Oryctolagus cuniculus: one gene and its partners. The protein of the gene in region 3 interacts with the protein of the main gene of each other region in a biochemical or structural test. Links are inferred from orthologs where the notes say so. Each region holds a gene or a part of one and is shown on either strand. Other genes may lie near its edges.

Region 1 (4,275 bases), on a different chromosome or scaffold from region 3:
CCCGTGCTCGCCTCAGCCCGTCGCCCGCTCACCTGCCACGAAGGGCCCCAGCTCGAACACGCTTCCGTCCTGGTCCTTGGGGACCTCGCCGGCGGGCCCGTGCCCGCTGTTGGGGAGCAGCTCCTCCCCCACGGCCCAGTAGGTGTGGCAGTGCCCCAGCCGCCGGGCACAGAGCCGAGGCCCCAGCTGCCACAGGGCCAGTCCCCCCTCCAGGCTCTGGAGCACGCGTCGCACGTAGCAGCTCACGCTCCCGTCAGACAGGGCCGTCCCGGGGTCCGGCAGGGCAACCGGCTGCCCCGGCAGCGTCCTGGCTGCGGCTTCCGGGCCCACGAGCCGCAGGCCTCCTGGGCAGCAGATGGTCTGCTGGAAGACCTGGCGGCCCCGGTAGAAGGCGGTCACCTCGAACTCCCACTCTGCGGGGCGGCGTGAAGGGCGGGGAGAGAGTGAGGCCCGGAGCCCTGGCCGCGGCCCCTCCCGCCCCTCCGCGGGCACTTACGTTCCTCGGGCACCAGCAGCTGCCTCAGTGGGTTTTCAGGGGGTGCGGGGTGCGGGCAGGGGCCGGGGTGGTCCAGGTGAGGGCTCAGCAAGAGCTGAGGGCAGCACTCAGGGGCCACAGCCCCAGCCCAGGGCCCCTCGTCCGGGCCGGCCGCCAGGCCCATGTCGCCCAGGAGCTGCTCCAGCTCGTCTTCCTGGAGGGACAGACGGAGCTGGGCGCCGCGGCCCTTCCTGGGGACTTCAGCCACGCGGGGACCCCTCGGCCCTCCACGAGCTCCAGGCTGGGGGAGACGCAGCCGCGCCCCTGAGCGCCTGGCAGACGGGGGTCTCAGAGGGGGCGTGTCCCTGGCACAGCAGCAAGGGAGGGGGAGGGGGAGGGGTTGAGGTCTCAAGAGGCTGAGGGCGCCATTATCCGAGGAAAGCTATGAAATCCTGGCAGGGTGGGGTGGGCGCTCCGATGCCCGAGGCTGCCGGACAGCCACAGGGGGCTGGGAGCCGGGGGGGGGGGGGGTGAGGCCAGGCCAGGACGACGGGGAGGGGTGCATGCTCACCTGGCTCTCAGAGGTACTGTCCCCCTGAACTTCGGGAGAGATGTCCCCAGCTCCTGTTGAGAAAGGCGATGGTGGCGGAGGGGTGCTGGGCACCGGACATCCCGGCCCTCCGTGGGGAACCCTGCTCTGGCACACCTGAGGTCACAAACTCGTAGACCTTGTGCGGGTCGTGAGGGTCCTTGCTCCGGTCCTCAGCTAAACGCACCACTTCCTTCCGGTTTAGGGCGGACCGGAAGTTCCTCTTCCAGGTTGGCAGGTCGGGCCTATCCCCGGGAGTATAGGCGCCGCTGGCCTCTGCCCAGGCCTAGGGCACCAGCGGTGCCGGGACACCAGGGAGGAGGATGAGACCCTGCCCTGGGGTCCTCACTTCACACAAGGCTCGCCCCCACTGCAGCCTCTGGCGCCCGGGTTCCATCCCGATTCTCGGATTCCCCACGTGCCCAGCTTCCCTATAATCCAGCCTCACCCCTACACCCTGCCTGCAGCTGTCAAACCCACTGATTCCCACACCAGCCTTCCGGGCCCCGCTGGTGTCTCCCTGCCTCTGCGGGTCCCAGGACAGCCTCAGCTCCGCCCCCGACGCTGTGTATCCTAAGCTGGTGGTTAGGAACCCCAGCTTTGGCCACTCCCAGAATTCAACAATCAAAGCCAGACTCAGCCGGCACCAGAATGCGTTTCCTTGGGGCTCTGGCCCTGATAACTGGAACCGGGCCGCTCCCACACTGCCTGCTCCCCAGCACCAGCCCCCCCACACCCGTCGCCTTAGGAGCAGGTGCCACAGGGCCAAGCCCCTCCCAGCCGAGCACGCGCGCACCTGGAAGATGCCGAAGTCCTGCGGCTGCGCATCCTGCCGCAGCCCGTGCTTCCAAGGTATCCGGAAGCGCTTCCGGTGCTCGTCCACCCACGACACGCCCTCCAGCTGCCCCAGGTCCAGCTGCTGGATCAGCCAGGGCAGGATCCGCGGCTTCTGCGTCCCCATGCTCCCGCCTGCGCGGACAGGGAGGTTCCTGGGCGTGGGCCCTCTCCTGCCCTACCTGGCCCAGGACTTCCACACCCAGGCTCCCTCCACGGGTCGCAGCGTCCCGTAATCGCCTGGTGTACAAACAGGGGGCCTCCTCTCCCATCCTCCGGAAAGACTCCCTGATTCAGCGAGGATTCCAGCCCAGACACACTGTAGACACCCAGCCTCCACGCCCTCGCCTCGGCCAGTGTAGACCTCCCCCTTTTCCTGATCCAAAGCCGGCATCCCCGATTCCACCGCGCTGTGGGCCGCCTTCCACGGTTCCCCCACGAGGGAGCCCCCTACCCGTTTCCAGCGCCGATGCTCGGGCACGACCCCCCGCCCCCGCCAGCGCGCGCGCCCCTCTCCACTCTGGAATGAACTCTTCCGCGTTACGGTCGGGGCGCGCAGGGTGGACGCCCACCGGCCCTGGGCTCCGGGTAGCTCTCAAGCTCGAACTTGCGCAGCTTGTGTCCTGTCAGCTGAGCTTTAGCGCGCCGGGGCTGTCTTTCCTATCGATCTCTTGAAATAAAAGCAATTTCAACATCCTCTAGGTAACAAGTTCCAAAGCCAAAGAGGCCGCCTGCAGCCCAGAGCGTACCCGTCTCGCCCCTTTTCGGTCTTCCGGCCACAGGCATGCTGGGAACGTCATATGCAAATCAGGCGGCACTCAGCGCCCCGCCCCTTCCACGTTGGGGGCGGTTACCCAACCGGCCCAGTGCGCAGGCGCGGGAAAGTTGACCTACTAGAAAAGTTTGTGTGACTTGAGGGAGGCGGCTGCGGCAGCGGGGCGCTGGGCCAGGTGAGTGGGGTGTTGTCCTTGGCTGGGATAAAGTGTGAATCGGGCCGGGACCCTGGAGCGGTACCTCAGCGCCGCTTCTCCGATGTCCCAGGGCCGGGGGTCCCCAACGTGCCAGCGTGGTGGTCGGAACTACATCTCCCAGCAGGCTTCGTGGCAAACACTCCCTTCGCCCCGCGCTCGCCCTCTGCGGGGCCTGCTGGGATTGGTAGTTCCCGGTCCCTTAAGGACGGCTAAGCTTGGCATATGCTAACTTCAGCATGCACGAGAAAGCCCCCTTCCCCTCGCGGACCCCGGAGTCCGGGCCCCCAGCCCCCTCCTCCCTTGGATCTAGGAATCCCAGCCCCGGGCCCCTCCTTTTCCGGGATAAAGCAGTTGGTTCTCATCGCACTTTTCCCTCTGGGGGACTCAAGAGTTTGGGTCCCTCAACCCTGAACCCTCCCCGAGGCCCTCAGCGCCTTCCTCCCTTTGGGGCCCAGGACTCCTGGGCCTCTCTTCATTCAGGGACGGGGGGCTTGGGCCCCAGCCGCCAGCTCCTCAGCCTCCCCTCCCCCAGGTGCCTCCATGGCGGGCTCGGAGGAGCTGGGGCTCCGCGAGGACACGCTGAGGGTCCTGGCTGCCTTCCTCAGGAGGGGCGAGGCTGCCGAGGCCCCCAGCCCCACCCCTCCCAGGTAAGAGGGACCCCCTCTCGCTCTCAGTCCGTCTTTGTCCAGCGAGGGAGAGATCCTCAGTGGGCAGGAACGAGGGACTGTCCCCAGGGGCCCCCCGGGGTCACTCTGAGGTCCCCCTCCCCAGGAACCCCGCCCCGGAGGAGCCGACAGACTTCCTGAGCCGCCTCCGCAGATGTCTTCCGTGCCCCCTGGGGCGAGCAGCCGCCCCCCCTGAGTCCCCTCGGCCTTCCTCCCTGCCCCTCCGCCCCTGCTATGGCTCGGAGCCGGGTAAGCCCTTCCTGACCGCAGGCAGGATGCGGTCCTAGTGCCGGGTTCCGGCTCCGCCCCCCAGTTCTCCGGGTGGACAGCGGGAGCGATCGCGGCCCCCCTGCACCTCTCCCGGTCCACATGGGTCTCGCCCTGTTGGACTGTGCAGCCCCCAGCACCTCCGACAGGGAGGCCGGAGCCCTGGACGCTTTGGCTGCGCAGCCGTGTGACCGTTCCCTTCCTGGTCCAGTGCGGCAGAGGTGGTGCGCAGCCATCCACCTTGCGCCGGCGCGGCCGGCAGAGCTGTGGTCGGTGAGCCCGGACAGCTGGGCGACGCGTGCTGGGATCAGTCCGCAGGTCCCGAGGTGCCCGGGACGAGAAGGGCTTCCCATCTGGGAAGTTTTCTGGATTGTGGAATATTGGTACAAACGTTACTGGTGGCCCATCCACAATCTGGAATCTAAAACTACTCGGAATCCTTTTGAAACGTAACAGATTGACCGGAGGGCAGCT
Region 2 (4,002 bases), on a different chromosome or scaffold from region 3:
CTACACTGTAAACTATGAGCTCTGCAGCCATGTCCGTTGGTGAGACCCATCCTTGGCCCCAGCACTCAGCCTCCTCTCTGCCTGGATCTCCAGGGTGCAGTCAGTCAATCTGCCACACACACAACTACTGTGCAAGAAACAACTTAGAGAAACCAAAGAAAAGATGCTGTGCTCCATCTGATGATGCATTCTCCGAAAAGTGGGACATGAGCAGAGCAGGAACTCAAGATCTGAGACTCAGCAGAGACCTCGGGAGCTGCTAGCAAAGCCACAAGGTCTTGGTGGAAACCCCTGAATTCTCCCCAGTGGCGAGGAGGAAACAATTAGCTGACAATACTGCTACTTGCTCTCACTTGTGTGTGGAGCGTAAAACAGCTGAACTCATAGAAGCAGAGAGTAGAATGGTGGTTACCAGTGGCTAGGGAGGGAAATGGGTTAGGGAGATGTTGGTCAAATGATACAAAATTTCACTTAAGAGAAATTGATTCAAGATTTCTATCATACATCATAGTGATTCTAGGTTTATCTGTATTCTTAAAAATTGCTAAGGGGTGGATTCTACATGTTCTTACCATCTTAGAAGTAAATGAGCAAGAAAACAATTGGCCTGAAATGCATTGAGGCTACTACTCATTCACCAGATTGAAAAAGCATCCTTAGGGCCAGCACCATGGTGCAGTGGGTTAAAGCCCTGACCTGCAGTGCTGGCATCCCATATGGGCACTGGTTGGAGTCCCAGCTGTTCCACTTCTGATCCAGCTCTCTGCTATAGCCTGGGAAAGCAGTCCTTGGGGGACCTGAAAGAAACTCCTGGCTCCTGGCTTCATCCTGTCCAGCCTCAGCTGTTGTGGCCATTTGGGGAGTGAACCAGCGAATAGAAGACCTCTCTCTCTCTCTGTGTCTCTCTCTGAACTTTGTCTTTCAAACAAAAAAATAAAAAAGAGACTTCTTAATATTTGAGTGCTACCTGAAACCTGCTTCTGAGCAGCACAGCATGACAGACTGGCACAGAAGTTTTGGTTGCAGACTTAGAAAGGGATGGGTCCACCCCCCAAGTGGAGTGTGTGTGAACGGCTGACTTACTGTAAGTACTTAGCTGGACACACCTGTTTCAATAAAAGGTTAAGACTGCTCAACTAGCCACTTCCTTGTAATAGAAAAGAATCAAAACAAGCCAGCAAGTGCAGAGAGTGAGACACAGCCCAGAGGGAGGAGACTTCAGAGGTAATTGTGCTGCCCTTTCGGGATGTGAGAGTAAGACCTACCTTGAAGTTTGTGGCTTGACTGTCCCATTCCAAGGCCTTGAGACAGGACCTAACAATGCATTCCAACATCATACTATGAAAACACGTTGAATCATTTGTGGAGAGAGCAAAGTAAGTTTATTTTGGTGCAAAAATCTTTTTGAAATTCATGCGGTTTTTTTTTCATGATATTCACTTTCTTTGAACTTTGTGAAGTACCTGCATATTTTATGAATTTGTAAAAGTGATATTTTAATTCCAGTTAGGATTGCTGTCTCTATTTCAGTTTTCTCTACCACAGTATCCTTCTATCAGTGACATTTGGGGGATCGAGTTGAAGGGAAATTGAGTTGGGCTTACACTGTTTGGGTTTACTAAGTTATGTGGTTCAAAAGCACTTCCATATATAATCAAGTTATTGCTGTCTGTCTCAGTGTAGCAATGTCTTCTGGGAACACTGCTACCACCAAGACAACTCATTTGACATGAGACTGAAGTGCAAGGTTGGAGGACCTCCAGAATAAGAACATGTCCCATCATATGAGCTGCCAGAAGTATGTAGACAGTGAAGACAAGCTATCCTTTCAATCCTTAGATGCATAAAATTTAAGTCTAGGGTTCAGTCTCATCAATATCTAGTCAAAGTAGAAGTGCTTTTCTTCAGGAATATATTTGACAATACAACATATACAATTATACATATATCAAAAAATTAAATATTTACATGTTTCAACATGAATTCAGTAGAAGTTATCCTGATTTCAGACAGAGAATTAAAAGAATACAAACTTTTTAGTTTCAAGCAAAGGCGTTAATTTTTGGAGGGAAAAAAATGATTTTAATTATAAAAATAGATGCTTAGTTTTTTTCTAATCAATTGGTGAAGAATGAATTTTATAAAACATTGAAATTTTGAAATATTTCTGGTTAACTTGATATAAAATATTGATATCTACAAACATATTTTCATAGTGCATCTTTACAACAAGGTAGATGACCTTCAGTAATGTATTTAAGGTGAGTCACTGCTGTGAAAATTTGAAATGCCCTGAAATCTAAGGGGCACTTAAGAAGCTTTTAACACTAGCCAGTGCTATGGCAGAGAGCGTAAAGCCACCGCCTGCAGTGCTGGCATCCCTTACATTCATCAGTTCAAGTCCTTGCTGCTCCACTTCCAATTCGGCTCTCTGCTATGGCCTGGGAAAGTAGTAGAAGATGGCCCAAGTCGTTGGGCTCCTGCACCCCAATGGGAGATCCAAAAGACGCTCCTGGCTCCTGGCTTCTGGCTTCAGATAGTGTTGTGCCCAGATCATTAGATCCCCGCAGAGACCCCCAGAGAGTCGATCACACCGAACTGCAAGAGCAAGGTTTATTCGGGAGTACAAGCCACGACAGGGACCCCATCCAAGCAACTGGCACAGCGGAGGAAGGAGTGAGGCCCCGGTCTTTGTTTGGGAGAGTTTTTAAAGGAAAAAAGGGATACATCAGCAGGAAAAGAGTTACATACAGCACAGAAGCTTTGGGTTCAGGGAGTTACAGCCGGGGCTGACAGCACAGGAGCTCTGGGCGCAGGAAGTTACTTTGTTCAGCAATCTCTACTGTGCTGTCCTTGATCTACTGAGCTAGCTGTCCCTGGTAAGCTTTGATATCTCTGGGATGCCTGAATGCCTGCTTTCACAAGGACCTGGGTCTGCTATGGGAAACGGAGGCTGCTTTTTTTATTGTTTTAAAATGGAGTCACTTTGGCTCTTCATTCCCCTATTGATTTTGTGCATGTTTGAAGAACCCAATCATGGGTTTTGGACAGACATTTTATAGGTTTTACAAACATTGAAGGGTTTATATTGGGACCGTTGGACCATTAATTGAATGGTGCCCAATCTCTGTTTCATAAACTGTATAAGTTTGTTAACAATGGAAGGGCTGAAGGTTAAAATTAAAATCAGGAGAACAAGGGGCCCTATGAGTCCTGATAGTAGGGGGCTTGCCACGGAGAAGAATTGAACCAAGACTCAAACCACCCCTGAGAGGCCTCCTGTTCTCTTGTTTTGCCAGCCCTCCCTGACCTTAGCCAGTCATGTTATCTTTTATTAGGCCCGAGTGATGGGCATAAAAGCAGCATTCTTTCCCAGAGTGGTGCACAGCCCACCACATTGGTCCCAGAAATCCAAGAGGTGCAGAGGGATGACGATCCGTCTTCAGAGTCACCCCTGCTGTCGTGGAGCAATGAGGCACTCTTCACTGCCATGGGGCGATGTCTTAAGCCACTGTCTCCTGGGTGGGGAGCCGAGACATTCCTGTAGTAGCATTTGGTTGACCGCCTGGTTGCCGAAGGCCTTGGTTCACTCCATCACCAGCTGTAAACACTTAAACAGACACTGTAGTATAGAGACAGGGTGAGGATAAGGCAGATTCCAGCCAAAACTGGGAGAAAAGCCACTCATTAGTGTGGGAGAGGATTATCAGTACACACATGTTGGGAGTATAAGTGGCAATCCACTACAGAGAACAAAGAATTTACAGAAATTTTTACTGTTTAATTTCTGCTCTACTTTTATACACAGAATAATGACTAGTTATTTGTAGCATGTCTTTAACTTTTTAACTTTGTGCATTTACTTTTCCTCAACAAGGCAGAGCTGCTGTTGCTATTTGTAACTGAGACAGCAGTTGATACTTAATAGGAAACACTGCTCACAGAACTGTATTCCCTACTAGCCAAATTTACCTAATAATGAATTATTTTGATAATGGAGAG
Region 3 (3,500 bases):
AATGGCTTGTATTAGAAGCACTTTAAAAACTGTGAGCATGTGGGGCCAAGTGATGACTGTCAAAGTAAGCTCGCGGAGCCATTTGAAGGTGAGGAAGAATCTTGGAAGAGGTGCATGCTGGGTCCCGGGTCCCCCCACGAGCTCAGGGCGGTGGGGTGCAGTCTCCCTGGAAGCATGGGCACGCGGCACGCTACAGCCACGGCCCACAGTTGTGTTCCGGAAAGAACCTGGTGCTGAGGGTCCCGGCTCTTTGCTCTTCCACGTCCAGCAGCCCCTGGGCTTCTTGGTACCTCGTTTTCTCCATCTTTAAAGTTAGATGATCCTATTGCTATCAGATTGGCCTCCACCACCATCACCCCCAACCTACCCCAAAGAAGCAGTACTTCAAGATGGGGAGTTATTGCTATTGTTCTAAGGGCCTTAGAGCTGGGAGCAACTCACAGACTTGGGAGCCAGGGTCATGGACAGGGCCCCGTCCCCCATGTGCTGGGGGTACAGGCAGACCCCCTTCCATGTGCTAGGGGCACAGGCAGACCCCCTCCATGTGCTAGGGGCACAGGCTCCAGCACCGACCAAGCTACAGGACAGACATGGGCCCTGCATCACCTGCATCTCCTTTTGGTCTTCAGTTCATTGTTGAGCAAATTCTTTGAGAGCCCCTAGGATCCAGGCAATTAGGACATTTAAAGAAATTGAGGGGCCAGTGCTGTGGCGTAGCAGGTTAGGCCGCTGCCTGCAGTGCCAGCACCTCATATGGGCGCTGGTTCTAGTCCCGGCTGCTCCACTTCCAGTCTAGCTCTGTGCTATGACCTGGAAAAGCAGCAGAAGATGGCCCAAGTCCTTGGGGCCTTGCACCCACGTAGGAGACCCGGAAGAAGCTCCTGGCTCCTGGTTTCAGACTGGCCCAACTCTGGCCATTGAAGGCATTTGGGAAGTGAACCAGCGGATGGAAGACCTCTCTCTCTGTCTCTCCTCTCTCTGTGTAACTCTGACTTTCAAATAAATAAAAAAAAAGAAAGAAAGAAATTGAAGATGAAAGATAAAAGCAGAATTCCAGCAGGCTGAGCAGGAAAGAAATGCCTTTGCCCCGCCCCTCCCAGCCCCGTGGCCTTGCCTTCTGCTCTCTTCCAGTCTTCCCCGTCTCTCAGTCCATCGCGCTCGGCCATAGCGCTCGCCGAGTCCAGGGCCCCGTCTGCAGAACTTGAGCGGCGATGACGTTTGCTGAGGACAAGACCTACAAGTACATCTGCCACCACCACAGCAGCTTCTGCCGTGTGGATGTTCTAGAGATCCTGCCTTACCTGCCCTGCCTTACGGCAAATGACCAGGTGAGCCCAGCCCCCGCCGGTTCACCCCAGCCAGGGCCAGCTCCTTCCTTGCCCCTCGTGGACCAGGGGTCTTCAAAAAATTCCTAGGAAACGCATATTCGGAAACCGCCCACATGTGGATTCCAAACCTTCCTGCACCTACATACACTTGTCTTTCTGATGTTTCTGCAAACTTTTCCCAGGCCCTGTATGCCGCCTCTTGTCCCTGCTACTTGGCGCACTGTGTGGTGGGGTTGGCTTTGCCAGCCTCCCCGGCTCCCTCTTGTGTTTGATTTCGTGTAGTGCTTCGGCTGGCTCCGGTCCCACTGTTCTTCGGAGCCCTCTCTTCCCTTCCTCTAGTCCTTGTCCTGCCCAGATTTGATTCCATTCTCCTCGTCCCAGGACCCTGCCCCACGGGCCCCCATGGTTCCAACCGCACCCAGCACAGAGAAAAACGCCCCTCCCCATTTCAGCTGCTGTCTCCAATGGGAGCCCTGCGCTCTCTTTCGGGGTCTCCTGTCTTCAGGCGTCTCAGGGCTGATGGGGTTTGACCCCTTCCTCTTGTATGTTGCATCTTGAAGATCCCTTATCGCTTAGCAACCGTTTTCTGTGTTTTGCTTCTGTTTTGTGGCTTGTTTTCATTTTGCTCTGGGGGGGGTTTCTGGTCCCAGGGCTTTTGCAGGCAATACATTTTGCTTCTCATCAGCAAAGGAGAGCTAATTACAGGACACTCAGAGTCCACTTCCCGGCAGCTGCAGTTGGTCGTTGGCTATTGGCTGCTGCTCATGGCTCTTCCTCATTCTGTTCTAGGGCCCTGATCCTGGCTTTGTCCTGGGCCAGGGTCCAGTGTCCAATGGCTGCTCCCCACTGGGGTCTCTCGGTGCCCCTCTCTGCAGTTGTCACATGCTGGGTGAAGAGGCAGCCAGCGACAACTGGCTTGAGCACGACTCCGGGGCTGTGTCTTCCAGGATCGGCTGCGGGCCTCCTACACGCGCCTGGGCAACCGAGACACCCTCTGGGACCTGTTCAACAGCCTGCAGCGGCGGACCGGCTGGGTGGATTCCTTCATCCGGGGCCTGAGGGCCTGCGAGCTGCCGGAGCTCGCTGACCAAGTGGCTGGCGAATATCAGCGCCACCTGCCTCGTGAGCGTCCTGCCCTGGCCCCGAGACCCTGCCTGCTTCCTCTGCCTTCTCTACCCTCGCCTCTCCCTCCTTGGTACCTCCTGCCTTTGTCCTCACCCTCCCACCCGTCTCCTGCCATCTGTGGGTGAACCCGAGTGTGGAGCCTGGCTGAGCCTTGGGCTTTCCCTCTGTAAGATGGGGCTGATGGCAGTTTCTGCACTGGGCAGATTCTGCGGGACGGTGCGTGTCGAAGGGGCCGACTCCTCTGATTTGTCGGGCTGTGTTCTTTGCCTGCTGCCTGCTTCTGGCCTCCGGGTTCCTTCCTCTCCACACCCACGTGTCCGCCCTCCCTCTCTCCACTTTACTTCCCCTCCTCCTGCTCCCCCTGGAAGCCTTCTAGCCCTCACCCCAGGCTGCTCCGTTACCTCTCAGCTCCCTTCCGCTGCCCCTTCCTGGCCCTGGTGCTGGGGGCATTTGGCATGGTCAGGAGAGGAGAGGGCCTGGGGGAGGGAGGGAACCAGCCTTGTTCATACCAAGGGACTTCAGGAAGCTCGTGGAAAGAACAGTTTGAAAGACACGTTTATCTTGGTGCCCCCCCAAAAAAAATTAAATCCATGCAGTTTTTATAGCATGCATTTCTTTCTTCCTTCCTCCCTCCCTCCCTCCTTCCCTCCCTCTCTTTTCTTTTTTATTTTTTCTTTCCTTCCTTCTTTCTCTCTTTTGTTTTCTTTCTTTCTCTCTCTTTTTTCTTTTGAAAGGCAGAGTTACAGAGGGAAAGGGAGAGACAGAGAGAGAGAGAGATCTTCCATCTGCTGGTTCATTTCCCAAATGCCATCAATGGCCAGAGCAGGGCCAGACTGAAACCAGGAGCCAGGAGCTTCTTCCAGGTCTCCCATATGGGTTCAGGGGCCCAAGCACTGGGGCCATTCTCTGCTACCTTCCCAGGCGCATTAGCAGGGACCTGAATCAGAAGTGGAGCAGCAGCCAGGACTCGAACCAGTGGCCAGATGGGATGCAGTGACTTTACCCACTATGCCACAGTGCTGGCTCCCATAACATGCGTTTCTGTGA

Evidence for each region. The genes of interacting proteins can lie anywhere in the genome.
Region 1: the proteins of MAVS (region 3) and IRF3 form a complex in vitro, tested with the Homo sapiens proteins (2 studies listed by BioGRID). The link is inferred for Oryctolagus cuniculus from reciprocal best matches to the Homo sapiens genes MAVS and IRF3.
Region 2: of the proteins of MAVS (region 3) and TRIM31, one has a biochemical effect on the other in vitro, tested with the Homo sapiens proteins (2 studies listed by BioGRID). The link is inferred for Oryctolagus cuniculus from reciprocal best matches to the Homo sapiens genes MAVS and TRIM31.

The regions. Positions count from the first base shown.
Region 1 is NC_091449.1:7,838,163-7,842,437, reverse strand, and holds the start of IRF3 (interferon regulatory factor 3), read right to left. Parts: upstream 2,801-4,275; 5' UTR 2,685-2,800; coding exon 2,648-2,684; exon of another isoform or gene 2,353-2,647; intron 2,315-2,352; exon of another isoform or gene 2,171-2,314; coding exon of another isoform or gene 2,034-2,170; coding exon 1,861-2,033; intron 1,351-1,860; coding exon 1,182-1,350; intron 1,100-1,181; coding exon 1,047-1,099; intron 777-1,046; coding exon 497-776; intron 414-496; coding exon 33-413; intron 1-32. Other genes in the region: BCL2L12 (bcl-2-like protein 12), read left to right, coding at 3,410-3,516, 3,641-3,783.
Region 2 is NC_091436.1:140,344,601-140,348,602, forward strand, and holds the start of TRIM31 (E3 ubiquitin-protein ligase TRIM31), read left to right. Parts: upstream 1-1,202; 5' UTR 1,203-1,376; intron 1,377-4,002.
Region 3 is NC_091442.1:29,181,353-29,184,852, forward strand, and holds part of MAVS (mitochondrial antiviral-signaling protein), read left to right. Parts: intron 1-1,131; 5' UTR 1,132-1,211; coding exon 1,212-1,328; intron 1,329-2,275; coding exon 2,276-2,450; intron 2,451-3,500.